Linked DNA regions of Oryzias latipes. The protein of the gene in region 1 binds, or shares a complex with, the protein of each later gene. Links are inferred from orthologs where the notes say so. Each region holds a gene or a part of one and is shown on either strand. Other genes may lie near its edges.

What was found.
Region 2: polr1e (region 1) and twistnb share a complex: the UniProt entries of both Homo sapiens proteins name them as parts of the RNA polymerase I (Pol I) complex. The link is inferred for Oryzias latipes from reciprocal best matches to the Homo sapiens genes POLR1E and POLR1F.

The regions. Positions count from the first base shown.
Region 1 is NC_019859.2:12,630,875-12,635,474, reverse strand, and holds the start of polr1e (DNA-directed RNA polymerase I subunit RPA49), read left to right. Parts: upstream 1-1,490; 5' UTR 1,491-1,505; coding exon 1,506-1,535; intron 1,536-1,745; coding exon 1,746-1,824; intron 1,825-2,025; coding exon 2,026-2,129; intron 2,130-2,412; coding exon 2,413-2,489; intron 2,490-2,580; coding exon 2,581-2,666; intron 2,667-2,748; coding exon 2,749-2,804; intron 2,805-2,878; coding exon 2,879-3,023; intron 3,024-3,146; coding exon 3,147-3,257; intron 3,258-3,372; coding exon 3,373-3,469; intron 3,470-3,552; coding exon 3,553-3,683; intron 3,684-3,817; coding exon 3,818-3,899; intron 3,900-3,982; coding exon 3,983-4,114; intron 4,115-4,600. Other genes in the region: zinc finger and BTB domain-containing protein 5-like, read right to left, coding at 1-136. UniProt on the Homo sapiens protein: Component of RNA polymerase I (Pol I), a DNA-dependent RNA polymerase which synthesizes ribosomal RNA precursors using the four ribonucleoside triphosphates as substrates.
Region 2 is NC_019869.2:9,793,689-9,798,134, forward strand, and holds the start of twistnb (DNA-directed RNA polymerase I subunit RPA43), read left to right. Parts: upstream 1-1,394; 5' UTR 1,395-1,435; coding exon 1,436-1,731; intron 1,732-4,308; coding exon 4,309-4,446. UniProt on the Homo sapiens protein: Component of RNA polymerase I (Pol I), a DNA-dependent RNA polymerase which synthesizes ribosomal RNA precursors using the four ribonucleoside triphosphates as substrates.

The DNA.
Region 1 (4,600 bases):
TGCAGGCTGCAAGAACAGAGCGGTGGGCTTTGAAGTGTCGGCTGCCCACCACTATGATGCAGTCGCACAGCTGACCGTGCAGCCGCTGATAGTTCAGCTGCTGGAATATCTGCTCAAAGTGTCCCGGGAAGTCCATGGCTCTGCTGACAAATCAGTCCAAAGGAGGAGGAGAAGGAGACAAAAGTGAGAAGGACGTGGACATCAATGATTTCACAGGGGGCTGCCCAACAGATCTACCACCTTGACTGTTTCCCAGCTCTCCCTGCTCCCTGGATCATCAGGTGTGTTTAGCCACTCAGAATGTGAAGTTACTCAGAATGTGAAGTTAAGTTAATCAACAAGACAACAAGTCTTAGAAACATTCTGGCTTTTTGGGCTGACTTCAATATGTCATTATCAGTGCAAAACACACACATTTGACTTCCTTTTGACTATTTAACATAGACATAACTAAGGAAAGAATTTGAAGGTCAGTAGATTGGGGGTTTAAATCCAAGACTACACAGTCAAAAGTGTCCTTGGGCGAAACACTTAACCTCACGTTGCCTTGGATTGTAATAAACTAGTGAGTCACTTTGGTTAAAAGCGTTTCCAAAGACTCAACATATAACACACACAAAAGAAGGAAATTTAAGTAAGCTAGCTAATTTTTTTTTCAGAATAATTGATTTAATTTTATAGAATTCTGTGGCCTAAAATAGAATTCAATATCTTACTATGCGATAACCGTGTTGTAACATTTATTACATTCAAAAACTTTGGGTAATTAGTCGTTTTAAATTCCCCAAACTTTATATTTTTTTATCGCAACTTGATGATAGAGAATTCGGTTACTGCAAAACAGACCTTAAAGAATAGCTTGCAAGTTTAAACTGGACAATCATGTGGGTTATAAACAATAAATAACATATACTAGATTTTAAAAATGTCAAATAGCACAAATTACCTTTAAGTCTTCCAAAAAGTGTGTCCCCGAAGGAAAAAAATTGAGAAAATATTCAGGGAAAAAAAGTGAAGAGGCTAGTAGTGAGTCTCGTTAGCAGCCGCGCGGCTAGCCAACTCCTTCTAGCTATATAGCAGCACCAGCGGGTGCATTAGGTCTCCCCAAAAGATCGTCTCCGCCGACACCCTTTCCCCCACAAAATGTCCCCTCAAGTGCAGCTACCTATGGCTAACCCTTCCATTGCGGTGTTCATAACATCTCCTCTAAGCCACTTCCTCGTAGTTCTCCAATACAGTCTGAACGGCGTAGTAGTTCAACTGTCGAGAAGAAGGGAGTTGCGATGGTCGTTAGCTTTAGGATGACCGATGAGCAGGATACAACTTCAGAACAATATCATAATACCGATGATCTGGTGTGTTTCCGGCGCTTACCAAGCAGCACGTTTTGCTTAATCTATACGAACATTTATTCAGACGGCTTTTTTTCCCCATCCAGACTCACAGGGTGGCGCTGCTGCACCTTGATTGAAATGACCTCGTTGAGGTAAAGCGCAGCAGTTTGAATGATTCACCACAGGGTGTCGCTGTCGTTCGTAAGTGTCTAGGATGAAAACTATTGAGCGAAATGGTTTTAAATATCTACTTTATTAAGACAGGTGTTGTGAATAATATTTACGTGTATTTAGAAAAAAAATGTTTTTAGACAGCTTTAAGAAAAGACAAAAATTCGTCATTGACCAAATTCACTGAGCGTTACGTTTTACGTAAATACAGATGAGTGAGTCCTCTCGCTCCTTTCACAGATCACAACAACAATCATGGCCGCCTCGTGCAGGATGGTGTGCTGCGAGGAGGAAAGGGAGTCTGACAAAGCGATCATAGGTAATTATTCTCATCTCAGCCTTTTTGAAACAATAATCTCTAAAGCAGGCGAGCATACAGTCAGTATTTGAGTTATCTGTGTTGCATTCAAGTGTATAAAACTATTCCATTTTTCAGGAGTAATCAGAACACGTGAAAGTTACAAGGCAATATTCTCACACATAATCAACATTAACACGCCATTCTCTGTATTTTTTGCAGTCCGATTTTCGAATGGTTTCACCAGCAATGCAGAGGAACTGGATTTTGCCACATTCAAGAACATAGAAGAAAATAATCCGAGGAAAAAGATAAGGCGGATCGTGGTGAGAAATTGCGCATGCGTGCTCGCACACACCATAGTTTGCATGGAATTGATATATTTCAAGCAATCAATATAACATCACACTGAAGAAGAAATACAAATCCACTCATATGTTTATCAAACTTAAGATGGTTTGTCATTTTTTGATTGTAAAATAAAAAATGTTATAAGAGATGCATATCCATATATTTACAACCACACACACGTACATTATACCATAATAATTAAACAAAAATGACAGATTCGCATTCATTAAATATGTAACAGTTGTCTGTTCCATTTAGGTTGCTGAATCAGACAGGTTGTCTTATGTCGGGCAGAATTTTGGAGAAGATTTAATGAAATGCAATAATCTTTGCAGGTTTGTTATCATTACATTTTATATACATTAACATTTGATATAGACCTTTCGTATCCTTATCGAATGAGTTTTGTGATGCAATTATTTTCAGATATTATGTTGGAGTTTTGAATAAAGAAACCATGCAGATGGAGATACACAGCGCTCAGCTATTCAACATGCAACCTGTCATACCAGGTAAAAGAAATGCAATCCCCAAAACAATAACAAGCGATTTTTAAAGGAGGGCAATTTAGTAATGCCAGTTAATTTCCACCAGGAGAGGCAACACATGATGCAAAGCCTCAGGACACCACTCTGTCCTACAGGGAAAAGGTATGAGAAAAACAAGCTTTCTTTTGAAACAAACAAGCACACAGTGAAGTCATGTTTTTTTTTTCTTTCTCAAGGTTGACTCCTTGATTGAGGCCTTTGGCACGAATAAACAGAAACGAGCTCTGAGCTCTCGCAGGCTCAACCAGGTGGGCAGTGATGCTCTGCATCATGCAGTGGCTGAAGCTGCCAGCACTGTGATTGATAACAAGGGTCTGGAAGGTAAGCGTGAAGCTTTCAGCCTTTTGGAGTAATCTAGACAAGAAAATATAACTCAAATTCATACTGGACTTGCCATCATTTTTTTTTTACTACATGTTTTTTTCCCCCTTTTTTTCTTGTTAGCTCTGCAACAGGAAGTAGCTGAAACAGAGTCTCAAGGAGCCCTGTCGTTACACCTACCTCCCTGCAATGCAGATGCAGACAAAAAAGAAGATGTCTACCCCTTTGAAGAGCGTATCTTTTTAACATTACCCCCCCACCCCCAATTTGAACAGATATTGGAAATTACATGCATATGTAGTTCGAGCAAAAGCAGCACTTTTCTCCATCCTTAATTTGACTTCAACAGTACTGAGTCCAGTAGAATTTGCTGCTTTGGAGCCGAACGGTCAAAAGATGACGGCACTAAGCCAAGAGGAGCTGCAGAAGTTGAAAGACCAAAGAGGGTATGGTAGCAGAGAGCATTTTTGTCTTATTAGCCTTATTTACTTATTATTGAATTGAAATATTTCTCTATTTCTTACCAAAGGAATCTGTGTGTGATGAAGCACCTGGAGAACATGCCATCCGCAAGTGAACCTAGAGAGAAAACTGCTCGCTGCGCTTTTTACCTGTCTCTCCTCATCAAACTTGCCCATCAGAAGATTGTCACTCGCAAATGTGAGCAGAATTTTGGAATCTCAGTTATTGAAGTAGTAGATTCTAAATATCGCTGATCAACACGTTAAAATGCCCTGCCCCTAAAGTTTTGTAATGTATGATGCTTTTTCTATTCCACCCGTTTTTGTTTGCAGTTTGGACTGAGGAAGGTTGTCCTCGTGTCATTCAAAGTAAAATTCTCCGAACATTTACAGTGGAGACATACAATAATGGCAGGTGTGTATGCGACAGTACCCCCTCTTTTGTTAAGGTTTAAAAAAAAAAAAAGCTGACAAATGTGTTTTGTGTTCTCCTTTTAGGGTCCAGAACATTGTGTCGACATCAATGCGGGCCAAAATAGCAGCTCACAGTCTGGCTCTGTTGCTGCATTTGGGTGACATGACTGTTAACCTCTCACTGCTTCACCGTGACCTGGAAATCAATGAGGCCAGGTACAAAAACCCCAAATTCTCTCCCTTTAAAACATCTTAGTTATTTTACCAACTGATTTTCCAACCCGAACATAAGACGACTCTCTCTGAGGCACCACCTTTCTCTCTGTGTGGGTTTCGCACATTTTATGACAACCTAGGGTCGGACTTGGCAGCATGTCCCAACATTTGCAAAGATGGATATGCATATTCTGTACATAAAATGAAAGCGCTTTGCTGTTTACCACTAGCTCCGCTGAGAAAGTGGGTGTGTCTGTAAGCCTGGGGGCGGTGCTGGCAGCACAGACTGTTCCTGGAAGGGGCTGTTCCTCACTTCTTGATGTCACTCGCTGTTTTTTTGGATTTGGAGGAGCCGGTCCTTAGAGTGCAGTTTTTTTTTTTTTTTTTTAGAAGATTAGGGCTAAAAACACCAAAAACATTTTATTGGAGTGGGTCTTTAACAAGGTAATATTGTTGTTCTGCCACTAAAGAATGATTCTTGTTTCC
Region 2 (4,446 bases), on another chromosome or scaffold:
ATGCTACTTCTCCCCCTAAAAAATCCTACTTTAAGAGCTGTAGACTAGAATCAAACATTCTAAGATAAAGTTGTCAAGATTAAAAGAACATTATGAGTCAAAAAATAGTTTTTTTAGCGATATTACTTAAAACAAAACATTTTCTACAAAATGTTCAGGATATGTTGTCTTAAAACCAGTCATTTTACCACACGGAAAAGTTACTTGTGAAGTAGTTTTGTCTCATGTCAAGTACAAAAATATATTTTTGTACTAGTTTTTGTTTTTGCAGTGTAGATTTGCTTCTGTCTTTATGTTTCTGAAAGTACCGCATGTTTAATATAAGACAGAGTGTTCATCAGCTGCTCAAATTCACACTTTAGGTCACCCTAATGATCTTAATGTGACACTTCCACTGAGAAGAGGATCCAGAATCAATGAGAACCTTTACCAGGCTTCCATTGCATAACATTCCACAGATTACATAACAAAGGACAGAACACTATGGGAGGGCATGACCATTGGAGTCTTCCTATAGAAATAAATAACACAATATTCTCCTATATTTATACAACTGTCTTGTCATTGCCACTATTGCAGGAAGAGAAGACATCAAGATTAAGAGGGTGAAGCCCCAGAACTACAGTACAAAGTATTAGATCTGCCGAGAAGCGGCAGATCTGCAGTCTCTGCTGTCTCTGGAGTGACCAGAGACAGCAGAGGCCTTTTACTTTGAAAATGTTAAAACAGGTTAAAACAGGTCTAATCTAAAAGAAATGGTTTCATAAAACAATATATTTGAAAACAACACATCTAGAATAAAAATAAAGAGAGAAAAATGTGAATGGTTAGTATTTTGCCCAGTGCTCTCCACTCATCCCAGCTGACAGTCCTTAAATGGCCATGCAGTCCTGCACTCAGGACCACTATCCATGCAGAAAGGAAAGAGATCCATGAGCAGATTTAAAAGAACACACAATCATGCAAAATAAACAAATAGAAGTATTTTTTTATAAAGAAAAAAACACTGGTGTCTGGGCTACAGTGGTGCTAATAAAGATCTTTGGAAGCAACTTGCATGCTCGACCTCGGGAAGGGTGAAGCATGTTCATTCACTCTGTGTCTCCAAATGGCGGTGTACCTCCAGGTAATGCGCCTCCTCCCAGCACTCAGTTACCTGCCTCTAAACATCTTTCATTCTGTTTGGGAATAGTCCCACTTTGGCTTTGATGATTCCAGTCCACATTAATGAAACAAGAATGAAACATTTATTTATAAAAATAAAAAATAAAAATAAAAGACTACGTTTCTGCTCATGCTTCATATTTCATGCTGTAGTTTCACCGCCTCACCAGCAGAGGGCAACATACGCATAAATGTTAAACTTCGGTTGGTGGCAGGTCGATCCTCTTTCCGGAAACTACGACTTGTTTGTTTTCCGGTCTTCTCACGCAGCATGGAGAACCTGATCCACGCCGAACCAAAACACGTGAAAATGTCGGCTGAACCTCTTGCCGTCTCTGGCTCGATTCCGGTGGATCCAGCGTCCGCAGCTGCAGAAAAAGCTGCGGGCGGTGCTCCGTGTTTGGTCCCGTCTTACTCCGCCGCCGTGGAGCTGCTGTCAGCGCCGTACTCCTGCCTGGTGATGAACCCCCGCAGGAGGCACGTCGTCCTCCCGCCGGTCTACCTCCACAAGAAGAGAAGCGGAATCCAGGAGGAGCTGGAAGCGGAGCTCCTGAAGTTCTCCCAGAGGTACCCCGACATCCTTTAGTGGAGTCTGTGAAGATGAAGCGCGTTAAAAAAAAAGAGACTTTATCCATCCATCCAAATGAACTACAACACAATAAATATCTGTCTGTGTCCGGATCAATTTTAAGATGATTCATTAAGACGCACTCCAATGAAAATTCTTTTTCAAACATGTTCTTGTCACATTTTTCTCACGTTGGAGGACATATCTTAAGGAAAATTGGTATTAAAACGGCTTTTTTAAGTATTTTTTAATCTAATTGTTGTGAATCATCAGGAGCAGACGAAAAAACATGATGCTGAAGTTGGCTTCCGATTCGCGAGGGCACTAAAGAAACATTCAATGCATTTCTCGGGCTAAGATCACCTAAAACCGGTCCCTGTTAAAACACCGCTGGACCTGGACCCCTCAAACCTGGATTAAATTATACATTAGATAGTTAAGAATGCATTAAACGCAGGTTCTGATTTATTAAACCTTCTTCCGATTTGTAAAAATGTGAAAGAATGATTTGTATCGCATTTTACGCACAGAGTCCACCTCAGACCAGGTCCTGTTCAGAAACCGCTGTGTGAAAAGTGCAGTGGAATGTTTCTTTAGTGCTCCCGCGAATCAGAAGCTGTGAATCAGAAGCCAACTTCAGCATTGTCGAAAAAATGCTGTTGAAAAAAGCTTGTTATTTTTATTATCATTTTGGCTGAAAAGGACATTTACATTTCATGTATTCATTCCTAGAGTACCTTCCACCCCCAGCCTCGTAGACCCAAAGTGCTGTACACAGGGAAGGTAGAATACATCATATAAGTATAAAAACAGAGATTGAAACCAACATAACAAAAAGGCAGCTAGGCAGAGACAGCGGCGTGATGGTGGAGGAACAGTTTGGCTTTAAAGCTCTCCAAGAGTGTAACCTCTCTGTTAGCCGGTGGATGTTGAGTCAACGCACAATCCCTTTAGAACTTACATGTGGTTCTCACAATAGTAACACACACTGGTCAGCAGAGCACAAGAACTCGAGGGGAGAATATTTTAAAAGCAGACTAGGTAAGAAGATGCCGTACCTGCTAATGACAAAAACAAAAACAGGAATTTTCTTTTTCTTTTTAAAAAAAAAAACGATTGCATGGGCAGTCAGTTTAAGGAGACCAGGATTGGGGTAATGCGCTCAGATTTCTTTGTACCACGAATAAATCTGCCGGCTGCATTTTGAACTAGCTGCAGCCTCGCTATTGCGGGACACCGCATATAAGGAGCTGCAATAATTTAGCCTTGACTACACAGAAGATGCTACACAATTACAAAATCTAATTTGGATAAAAAAACCATAATCCTCGCCAAACGCTGCAGCTGAAAAAAGCAGGACCTGGTTACAGCCTTTATTTGGAGGTCCACTTTCAAGGTAGCATCGAGTTTCACGCCTAGGTTATAGACCACAGACTGTTGAAACGGGGCGAGCGAGAGGAGATGAAGACCGCGATCCTTTCGACCACGACGGGAAAACATAATTACTGCAGTTTTTGTTTCATTAAGCCCAAAGAAGTTAGCCGACATCCACTTGGCCGTCCAGTTGTTGCCTGAACAGTCGGGACATTTGCGCATAGCAACAAAGATTTGGCAGTCGTCTGCATAAAGATGGAAATCCACTTTATGCTTACTAACCAGCAGTAGTCACGTGAACATAGGTACCGTCTTACTCCGCCGCCGTGGAGCTGCTGTCAGCGCCAACCTCACCCTCATCCGACTTTTATGGTGCAATTGATAAATTTAAAAAAAAGTGTTTTATTTTTAAATATGATTATAAATGGGAATCCACCATTTGAACAACTTTATTAGCAGCATCCTCGTAATATTAGACCGCTGGTTGTTGAATGTTATGTATTATTATTATTGTCTGTGGGAACAACTGTCACAATAAATCCTTTTTTTTCTGTTAAATGCTGCTGTTTTTTTATTTTGAAGTCAAAGGATCGTCTTCTGTTTCCTCACTGGCTCTTCTCTGCAAAAAGAAACTTTCCAAATGTGTTTGTTTTTTGCTAACTGTGCTAGCTTCGGGGCTGCAGTTTGCGCACGCTTTAAGAAAGTATCGATGGATTTTCAACACGCAACCAAGCGACTTGAAGAATGAGTTGGATGCGGTGAAGAATCCAGTAGATTTTTAAAATAAAACTTCACCCAGAACTAAATAAAACAGAAATAATGGAGGTCCTGTTTTTTTCTCTGCGGCCCGGTACCATTTGTCCAACAAACTGGTACCGGTCTACCGCCCAGGGGTTGGGGATGCCTTTAACATACCTTAAGTTTACCTTAAAGAATCCGGTATTTAAGAGATACCTGAGAGCCCTGAATGTTGTCCAGAGAACCTGGAGAGTGCCATCCTCCAAGAGCGTTGGGCACTGGGTTAAGATGGTGGAGTATGATCCCCTCTGGGTTCTTTGGGATGGACAGTTTTAGGTACTAGGACCACACAGAACATTTTGTCTAGGTATTTACCTTCTTGTTTAGTTTATTCCAGTCAGCTGATGTTTGTTCGTCTGGCTGTGACACAACTTTTCTCAGCTATGTGTACATGTGCCTTGCAGTCTGAACGGAGTACCCCTGGCTTATGACAACATCCGGATAGTGGGCAGACATGGAGACATCTACGATGACAGCGGCTACATTCACATGGACATAGAGGCCAATTTTGTTGTATTTCAACCCAAAAAAGGGCAGAAACT